Linked DNA regions of Coturnix japonica. The protein of the gene in region 1 interacts with the protein of each later gene in a pairwise test. Links are inferred from orthologs where the notes say so. Each region holds a gene or a part of one and is shown in the gene's direction. Other genes may lie near its edges.

What was found.
Region 2: the proteins of RINT1 (region 1) and LMO2 interact in binary tests that used the Homo sapiens proteins (3 or more experiments, as listed by UniProt). The two-hybrid records come from large-scale screens. The link is inferred for Coturnix japonica from reciprocal best matches to the Homo sapiens genes RINT1 and LMO2.
Region 3: the proteins of RINT1 (region 1) and SH2D4A interact in binary tests that used the Homo sapiens proteins (3 or more experiments, as listed by UniProt). The two-hybrid records come from large-scale screens. The link is inferred for Coturnix japonica from reciprocal best matches to the Homo sapiens genes RINT1 and SH2D4A.

What each region holds. Positions count from the first base shown.
Region 1 is NC_029516.1:12,589,231-12,592,985, forward strand, and holds the start of RINT1 (RAD50-interacting protein 1), read left to right. Parts: upstream 1-1,269; 5' UTR 1,270-1,430; coding exon 1,431-1,607; intron 1,608-1,675; coding exon 1,676-1,917; intron 1,918-2,771; coding exon 2,772-2,945; intron 2,946-3,021; coding exon 3,022-3,171; intron 3,172-3,755. Other genes in the region: PUS7 (pseudouridylate synthase 7 homolog), read left to right, coding at 212-348. UniProt on the Homo sapiens protein: Involved in regulation of membrane traffic between the Golgi and the endoplasmic reticulum (ER); the function is proposed to depend on its association in the NRZ complex which is believed to play a role in SNARE assembly at the ER.
Region 2 is NC_029520.1:6,404,879-6,407,352, forward strand, and holds the end of LMO2 (rhombotin-2), read left to right. Parts: intron 1-910; coding exon 911-1,130; 3' UTR 1,131-1,905; downstream 1,906-2,474. UniProt on the Homo sapiens protein: Acts with TAL1/SCL to regulate red blood cell development. Also acts with LDB1 to maintain erythroid precursors in an immature state.
Region 3 is NC_029519.1:30,066,496-30,070,150, forward strand, and holds part of SH2D4A (SH2 domain-containing protein 4A), read left to right. Parts: intron 1-164; coding exon 165-312; intron 313-2,796; coding exon 2,797-3,013; intron 3,014-3,655. UniProt on the Homo sapiens protein: Inhibits estrogen-induced cell proliferation by competing with PLCG for binding to ESR1, blocking the effect of estrogen on PLCG and repressing estrogen-induced proliferation. May play a role in T-cell development and function.

The sequences.
Region 1 (3,755 bases):
CACTTCCCGCTGAAAGAAAATGTTAAATGGAAGATGGTTTACAACATTCTGCTTTACACTATGGATTGTAGACTGGGGTGTGGTGGTCGAGGCTGTTGTATGAGATCAGGGATGGCGGTGGAAAACTTTGGTCCGGTTTGGATGGCACTCAGAGTAAGCATTATTTATGTTCTTTACTTTCTTTTTGCTTTGTCTCTCCTCTTTACGATAGATGGTAAATTCCGGGCACTGAAGATGGAGTTCTCCCTTCCGCCATCCACTTACGCCACTATGGCGATCCGAGAAGTTCTGAAGATGGACACAAGCATTAAAAACCAAACGCAGCTGAACACTACCTGGTTACGCTGAGTGAACTGCTGGCACGGCCTAGATTTTAACATGTACAAAGTGTTTTCCTACTTACGTTCTGTACAAATCTTTGAAGGGTGGCAGTGAGAGATTTGTATTTTTTAAGTTTTTATTAGTGCAAGCAGTTAAATTAAGTAGTTATTAGCAAGATGCCGGTTGTAATGTAATACGGGCCTTAGTGACTGGTGCTTTGTAACGAATGGACCATGAGGTCGCTTGAGCTGTGTTGCTGCATCTCTGAGAAGCAGGCTTATGGCTTCTGACCTGGGCACATGTTCGTCTCGCTCTGTTTCAGCGAGCAGTGAATGTTTTTATCAGTTCAGCACACCTTGAGATCTCTATATTAAAGTACAGCATTAGGAAAATTAGAGCTGAGTGAAGGTACTGATGGCTGTTTGCTTCCAAGAAGCTGCTGCGGTCAGCCGGGCTGGCTGTGTGCTGCCACAGGGCACAGCTGTTTTAATTAAACACGAGCTTCTTCCGGGGAAAATGTGTGCATTTTCAGCTTCACCAAGACAAGGTACTGGGAATAGTTAACCAAACACAACGGTGTGTCAGTCCGTAGCGCCTCGCTCTGTCCCTGGCTGAGCCAGCCTGCTGCTGGGAGGCAGAACGAAGCTGCATTTTAAACGATTCTAAACCAAATAGGGAATTCGTGCTGCTTGTGTGAATAAAACGCCGTGAACGGAAGGTGCTCCCGGCTCTGTGCTCCCTGAGGTGGGGTTATGGGGGAGCTGTGTGGAAGGGGCGGGCGCGGCCATGGGGGTGGCTGAGGGGGAGGCGGGTGCGCATGCGCCTCTGGGCCCGCCCCGGCTGTGATGTGTGCGGCCTTGGGCCGCGCTGTGCTGACGCGGCGGGGCGGGGAGCGAGGGGCTGCGGGGCCGGCGGTTTGATATTGCTATTAAAGGCCTCGTTTTAAAGGCCGGCATGGCTATTAAAGGCCTCGTTTAATGTTCAGGTGAAGAGGAATCGCCCTGCGTTCCCAGGAGCCCCGTGTCCTCAGTAGGTCGGTAGTTGGTCGTGTTCCCTTAGTGGTAACCAAGTAGAAATTACGTAAATAACATTGCGGAAAAAAAGAAGGCATGGCAGCCGTTAATGTGCCGAAGAAAGAAGTCGTCAGAGATCCGGATCGCTGCGATATCCCGTACTACGTTTCAGAATTTGTGGAAAGAGAAGTTGGGAATGACTATGATTCTCTGAAGAAGCTGGGCAGCCTCATTGAGAAGCTGTCTGAAAACAAGAGGCAGCTGGAAGAACAGGTAAGTGTCTGTGCTCATTCTCCGTGTGATTTTTCTGTGTGAGGCTTAATGCATGTCTGTAAATGCAGGTTCTCACGGTTTCATCCGAAGTCCCTAAAAGAATTCAGAACGCCTTAAAGAATGCAGAGGACTCAAAACAATCTCTGAATCGGCTTCTAGAGGAAGAAACTCTCCTGTCCGATTCCATCAGCAGCCACTTAGAGAAAGCTGAGCCGTGGATGGAGGATCTCGGGGTGCTGATCAGCCAGGTGGAGGAGATTGAGCATCACCTGGCCTATCTGAAATGGATTTCCCAAATAGAAGAGTTAAGGTAAAGCCGATGTACTTATGGAGAGTTCTTACTAGTGGTATCACACAGCTTCTTCAAAGATTCAGTGTTAAATAATCACATTTAAGGAATAAACGAGAGCAGCAAGTTGTCATCTGGCCATATAAACTGTTAACGTGTTCTCTGGTGAGAACTGGAAGTTATTGCTCTGGCTTAAGGAAGAGAACAGTAACTGTGTCGATATGTGGATGGAACTCTTTCACCCACTGTAAATTATGGTGTAAGAACTAAAATAATACTGGAATATCTTGAGCGGAAATGTTACGCTTCAGACTTCGTGATTCTGAGTTTTCATTCTGGTACACTGATTTTATCGTAATGGGAATGAACAGTGCTGTTTTAGTTAATGTGATTTGTAGCTTCCTTCAGTGGAAAACTTTGTGTAATGCTTGTAAAGAATGTCAGAAATTGGAAGATTCCTTTGGGTCAGATTTTGTACAGAGAGACTTAAGTTATGAAACAACTTGGTCTGAGCTATGAAAATGTGACAGGTGTGCTGCAGTCTGAAATTTGCTTCCAGTTTTCCTCCTGGGAAGCGTGAGGAAAAGCAGATCTTTGAACAAGTTCCATAAAGAGCAGTGCTTCAAAGAACTTCGGGCCTCCCTTCTTTCCTTCTGCCTTCAGGTCTCGGTGACAGGCAACTTAAGGAACTTCACACAAAGAACTTGTTTCGTGAATCCTTGCTGTAGGATGTATGTGATGGGAGTGGTAACCTCGTTAAAGTATTTCAGATTGAGCATGTTTTCTGCCAGTTTCTCAATATGATGGTTCTTTTGTGTTATCTTTAGTGAATTTTTGTCTCAACTCTTCTTGTATTTATGTTCTTGTGTTCATAGTGATAACATTCAGCAGTATCTGATGACCAACAATGTTCCGGAGGCAGCCAGTACTCTAGCGTCTATGGCAGAACTGGATATTAAACTTCAGGAGTCATCTTGTTCTCATCTTCTTTCGTTTGTGAGATCCACTGTTAAATTTTGGCATAAAATTCTTAAGGACAAGTTGTCAAGGTACAGGACGACTCATCACTCCCTCATTTCATGTTGTGCCGTAGCTTGGTGGTAAAGTGTGTGTTTTGTGTTGCAGTGACTTTGAAGAAGTGCTGACCCAGCTTCGTTGGCCATTTGTGGGGCCACCGCAGTCTCAGGCGTTTGGCCTTACTGCGCCAGCCAACGCTTCTGATGTTTACAACAATTTAGAGGTTTTGTTCTGCCAGCTTCTGAAATTGCAAACATCGTATCCTTTAAAAGTGTAAAGAAAATTGCCTTGGGGGTGTTGGTTGGTGCTTAGCTAAACATGAGCCAGCAGTGCACCCAGGTGGCCAAGAAGGCCAATGGCATCCTGGCTTGTGTAAGAAATAGTGTTGCCAGCAGGAGCAGGGAAGTGATTGTACCCCTGTACTCAGCTCTGGTGAGGCTGCACGTTGAGTACTTTGTTCAGTTTTGGGCCATTCACCACAAGAAAAACACTGAAGCCTTGGAGTGTGTCCAGAGAAGGGCAACAAATCTGTTGAGGTGTCTGGAGCGCAAGTCTTGTGAGAAATGGCTGAGGGAAGTGAGATTGTTCTGTCTGGAGAAGAAGAGGCTCGGGGGAGACTTCAGCTCTCTCTACAACTGCTTGAATGGAGATTGGTGTAACTGGTGATAGGGTGAGGGAACTGTCTCAAGTTGTGCCGGGGGAGATTGAGGTTGAATATTAGGAACAATTTTTTCTCTGAAAGAGTGGTCAGGCATGGGAATGAGCTGCCCAGGGAGGTGGTGGAGTCACTGTCCATGGAGGTATTCAAGAAACATTCAGGTGTTGTACTAAGGGACGTGGGT
Region 2 (2,474 bases), on another chromosome or scaffold:
TTTCTCCCTCCTTCTAAGAATATACGTGATAATCTTAGTGGTCTTCTCCAACCTAAATGATTCTATGATTTTGTATTTATACATACTCTATATATGTCCCTTATTTATTAATGATATGACTTACAAACTCTGTAACCAGCAGACTGTGTGAAATGCTGCCATTCATTTTGTCCTCACACATGGCTGGGTGTGTTGCTCTGCTTCAGCTGAGAATTCTGGCACATGCTGTGAGGGAGACACATACATGGTGCCTTTGCTAGGGGCTCCTTTTAATAGAAAATATCATACTGATCTCAGCAGGAAATCTCAATCTGTTTCAGAAAAGAACAGTCCAGAACATAGAATTTTCTGTAACGGCAGAGTACCTGTAAGGTCTTAGCATGTATCCTGAAACCCAGCAGGAGTGATTTCATGAATACAGAAATATGTGAGCTTGAAAGAATGTCAAATGTGGCAGCAATGAATGCAGACAGTAGAATATTAAATGGTAGCTATGTCATAATGTGGCAACTTTTTCCTGTGAACGACAATAGCAACAGCTGAAGATAGAGGTGCTGAAAGGTAATGTCTGTTGCTGGTATAAGAGCAAGTATTAGCATCACACAATTTTATGCTATGATCTGGTGAACCTTTACTCTGTTTGAAGCTGCTCAGTGTTTCAGGTTAACGTCATTAATCACAGAAGCCAATTACCTTAGAAATAAGTGAAGACCTTGGACTTTCTACCTCAGTTTTTGGTATTTCAAAGATCTGAGTTCTGCTCAGCAGCTTTCTATGTGACCTCTATGTATCTTCGCAGTCGTACGACTAATGAGGCAATGCACTGATGCCGTGTTCCTGTTTTGACTATTTTTTTCCCCACCTCTCCAGCAAAAGAACTCTAATTGCTTCTTTGCTGTTGTTGTTTTAGGCTCTTTGGCCAAGATGGCCTCTGTGCTTCATGTGACAAACGGATCCGGGCTTATGAGATGACCATGCGGGTGAAGGACAAAGTATATCACCTTGAATGCTTCAAATGCGCGGCCTGCCAGAAACACTTCTGTGTTGGGGACAGATACCTCCTCATCAACTCGGACATAGTATGTGAACAGGACATCTATGAGTGGACTAAGATAAATGGAATGATATAGCAAAGAGGTGGCTCATGATCTATAAAAGACATCTCACGGGCGATGCAGGCACGTAGCTGCAGTGAGGAGATACCACCTGAGCTATGTGCTTTGTCTAAAAAAGGGGGGAAATACCACAGAGTAGGCCCTTTTCAGGCAGTGCTACGTAGAATCTAAGCTACATATAAATGAAGAAGGGAGACTGAAGCAATATTAGATAGACTGACTTCTGGCGTATCGACAATAACTGACATCAACCAGATAGGCAAGAGCTGGGGAGCAAACACAATGTGATAATGAATGCTCATAACTGGAAAAACAGTAGTGACTTGTGTAAAGAGATGTTATGACTTTGTCACCCGCAGACTAGGATTGTGCAATTGATTTTTCTTTTCAACTTGTTTTAGTTACTCAGTTTAGACAACTGCTCCTAATGTAGACATGAAGAGGAATGCTGGAAAAACAAAGGGCCAGTCCCTTATGTGGTCATTTGATAAGGCCTTATGTTTTGGGTTAGGAGAGAATGGGGGAAGAGGGTAGGGGTTATTTTTGCATGGATTCTTTTTTTCTGTGAGAATGAAGAGTGCATCCTCTAGTCCCAAACTGTTCTTCAAAAAAGTCCTGCTGAATAGTTGTTTTCAGGCACTGCTGTTTCAAGATGAGATGTTCCATAGATCATTTCTATACAAATATAAATTGAAAGAGTTGTTCAACTATTTTATTAACTTAGATTATATCGATAAAATATTTGTTGTGTGTAGTCAGACTCTGCAGCTTTAATAAAAATGACAGAAGATTTGAGTGTTATTATTTCTTTCTTGGACATCATACCAGATACTTTGTTTGCATCATTTCTTTTATTTTTTGTAGCGGGATTTCTGCACTTGGACTACAGCTAATTGCTGAATTCACTTAAGGTTGTGTTTCAAAGCAGCAACAGGAGAACACCTGTCAGCCTCAAGAAGCTTTATGGAGTTCTTCATATTAAGAAACAATGCGGTAGTATTGTGTGACATGGACCCTTTGGTGCTAATAAGGATGTTTTGAGGTTGGATGATGCCATGAAGTACATTTGGGTGATACTTTGTAGCATAAGAATAAGCTGCCTGATTAGAGGAGGTCATGCAGGGTTAGGTTCTGATTTTGCTCCAGATCAATGAAATGAGTATAATATAACCTGAGCCAGTAAAAATTGACTAATGTTTAGAAAGATTTCTGTTTAAAGCCCTAAAAGCTCTGAGCTTTGCCTTCAGGCTCCAGTGCTTAATGCCAACTTGGACCCACTCTCCATGAGTTCGCCTCGTCTCTTTCTGGCTCTTAAAGTTTTGGTCTCCTTAAAGTCCAGAAGCTACCTATTTGTCAGTG
Region 3 (3,655 bases), on another chromosome or scaffold:
TTTTGCCCTTCTTTCTCTGTCATAACCCGCAGTAAAGTAAGAGGTTCTTTGAAATCAAAGGGATTCACAACTGAGAATGGAATCCCTAGTTTTTCAAAACTAGCTAAAAAGCAGGACTAAAACTAGCCTGGGACAAAGCACTGAACACATCATTTCTTTCACAGATGAAGGGAGGACACAGGAGAAATTCAAGAGAAGAGACTACAGTCCAGCTGAAGGCAATACCACAAAGCCATGTACCACAAAGCCATGCATGCTCAGAGAAGACGTTGCAGAAATCTGATGAGAATGAGCCTGAATGGCAAGAATCCTGTAAGATCTTAGGATGATCTTTTGTAAGAACTTTTCCTATAGGGCTTGAGAAATCTTAGAGCTCTGAGTGGTCATTTCAGTCATTCTCCTGCAAAACTGGAACTCAGTATTTCTCAGTTAGTAGGTAGAGAGTACTGTCAAAAAACACAGAGATGCAGCATCAGAAAATTTTCCGAGTCCACACAGCATTGAAACTAGAGCTGGGCAGTGAGATGGCAAATTTATCCTACAGAAAATTCTCCACTTGTAAATATTTCCCATTTTCAGTCTCTTCTGTATTTCGATTAAAGAGCTTTTGTTTTTAATTGAAAGATAATAGATTTAAATATTAAGCAATGTCAAGCAGAATGAGTCTTGCTGGCATTTGACAGCCCTCAGATACCATATGAAAATGATAGGACCCACATGAGCGTAGCCAGGGTAATTAATTTTAAACTAGAAGTAGGCCCTTGGCAGAAACTTGAAGTAGATGTTGCTCATGTGGAAAAGAATAATAGGTAGTGAGGACAAACTAAAAGGCATAATTTCAAAAGCACCTGGTTGATAGCAAACTTTTCAGACATCAGAAATGAGTGGGGAGGGCTTTTGCCACTTACTTAATTCTGTGCAGAAGATCCTGAGGCCTGAGTAAGGCTCCTTCTTACACAACAGAACTGTATTGTGGTGAGGTAAGCTGATCTGAGACCTCAGAAATAATGTGAAAGATGAAAAAAAGTATTGCATAAAACACAAAAAAGGGGCCACTCCAAATCTCCCTGCTTTCTACCTTCCCTTCCTTGAGGTAGGACTTGATGATCTTGGAAGTCTTTTCCAACCTAAGCAATTCTATGATTCCCTGCGAGGCACAGTCCTCTCATCTGGTTCCATTTCAGACACAAAAAAATCTCATTGATCCAGAGCCCTGCCACACATTGCTAATGTAAAGATTTAAACAACTGGATCAGAAATGACAAAACAGTGTAAGACTTACATTAACGTCTACCACTGCTGCCAAGTATGTCCTGAACTCTCTACTTAAGTTATTACGATGACTACATTTCCTTCTAGGATCTCTCATAGTAACCACATACCTCAAAGGTGATTTTTCAGTGTAGCCTGAGTTGAAAAGATATTTCAAACTTGACTCCTTTTGAGGGAATCTTGCTGTGCAGCTTTCTCAGAGACTGGAACAAAGGGTCACAAGCTTAGTACACAGAAGATATTGAGATACACCCTGACACTCTGTTTGCCTTTGTTTCCATCCAGGTTCACGTTCTGCTCCTCACATCTTCCTTTCCTGGGGAGAAAGAAAACTGAAGTCAAACTTGATGCTTTTTTTTCCCTCACTGTTCAGTAGATGGCAATACTGTACTATCATTTGTCTCCACTTTAGGCCAAACCTTTTTTGTTTCTAATTAAAAAATTGAATTTGATTACAAAAGCACAGAAATCACTAAGCATAGCTCAGGCTGGAGAGCCAGTTACTCAACAAAAACAAACAAACAATAATATCCAGCTAAGTTCTCTACTCCACAAAACAGTTACAGCAACACTCCCTTCTCTTTGCAAGGCCCATCAGGATTTTCAAATCCTTTAGAGGATTCATTAGTGGTCGTTTCAGCAATTTTTTTGCCTCCCCGGTCTCCTGGAAATAGAAACAAATGTTTTTGTTCATGTATTGCTGTGGCTTTTCCAACATTATCTTACCACATGCAGTGTAAGATCTCTCTAACTCCTGATCTTATCAAAATTGCAAGGACTGCCTCAGTGCACAAATTAAAATGAAAGGCTGAAGGGCCCTTTGCTTCTCCCATCCTCCTTTCTCCCACCCCTCCAGCTTTTCAAGAAAGACATAATGGTACAATTTGTAATTGAGTGAGGATTTTAATTTGACAAAGTAATTGTGCTTCCCTCCTCCCCCCCCCCCCTCCCAAATTTCATTCCAAAAAGTCTGTGGGCCAGCTGAAAACATTTATTTACCTGATTGGATAACTGTTCCTTCTTGCTCAGGTCTCCGCTCACACAAAAGGCATCACAGAAATTTATGACTGAACCAAGTCACATGAAACAAAACCAAGTCATTTCTAAGTACAAAGTTAGAACCCAGATTTTTATCTGTTGAAGGAATAAGAATTGGGTTCTTTTAAAACAGTAGATGCCCAAAAGTGATGGGAGAGAGGTAACAAACGTTGTTACAGATAAGTGAATCTTTCATTCAGTGGCCAGAGTAGCTGAGTCACTCAAGGCTTGCGAGGAAGATAAATGACTTCCAATACAAGCAACCTAAGATGCCTGCTTGGAAATAGAGGAGAGGAAGTACCTTAGTTCCAAAGCTCTCTCCCTCCACAGTAACACTGTTTGTTCCTAGTGCTGGGACACAGAGAGAACCTAAATGCTCCGAAATGCGTTATTTCTCACCTCCAGCTATCAGAGAGATGGCTAAGCAGCAGCAAGCTCAGAACTTGCCTGCTTGTTCACTCCAGTATGACTGCTTTTCTGTTCCAGTGCGGAAATCCAAGGCAGCAGATGAGAAGAGACGCTCCCTCGCACGACAGGCCAGAGATGACTACAGGAGGCTTTCACTGCAGGGAGCCCACAGAGGGAAGCAGGCAGACATATCCAAGAACGCCACAGCAGGAGATCGGCGACCGCTCCAATACCCTCCTCTCCCACCCAAGCCTAAACTTCTACCTCCTGTGACGACGAATGGCAGAGCAGTTAGGTGAGAAAAATGTGCACTGTTGAAGGGAAGGGAAAGGGGATGAGATACTTCTGCTCTGGCAAGGGCTGGTTGAGATGAAGATGCCTGTTCTCTTCATACAGAGGAAACACTCTACTGGGAAAAATAAGAAGGCTAAACTATATTCCAGCATAGGGTATGAAGACTGTGGCACTAAAAACAAAGACAATGGCACATTTACTGAGTACCAGCATCACAAGATTTGCATTGCTTGCTTTTGCCCAACTGAGAGAAATGTCCCTAAATCATGAGAGCTGCTAATCAGCAAGCCCTCAGGTCCAACACCTCAACTATCTCAGTTGCTCCTAGTCACCATTCTCTTAGCTCTGCCTTTCTTAGCCATCTCTCCAAACACCCAGCCTCTCAATTATACTGAGCTCGTAGAGGTACAAGGCATTTTCCAACAGTCAAGTTCTCTTTTTGCCATATGTGAAAGTCAGATTCAGTGACAAGTTTATATAACAGAACACCCTAAGCCTAAAATATGTAGTACGTCCTCTTTGATAGGTGTCCACTGAAAACCATACAATTTTGTTCATAGCTGCATTACTGTAAGCCTTCTATTTAGCATTGTTCCTATCACGCTGAACAAAAAGCAATTCTTGCCAGGATCCAAAAGCTGTC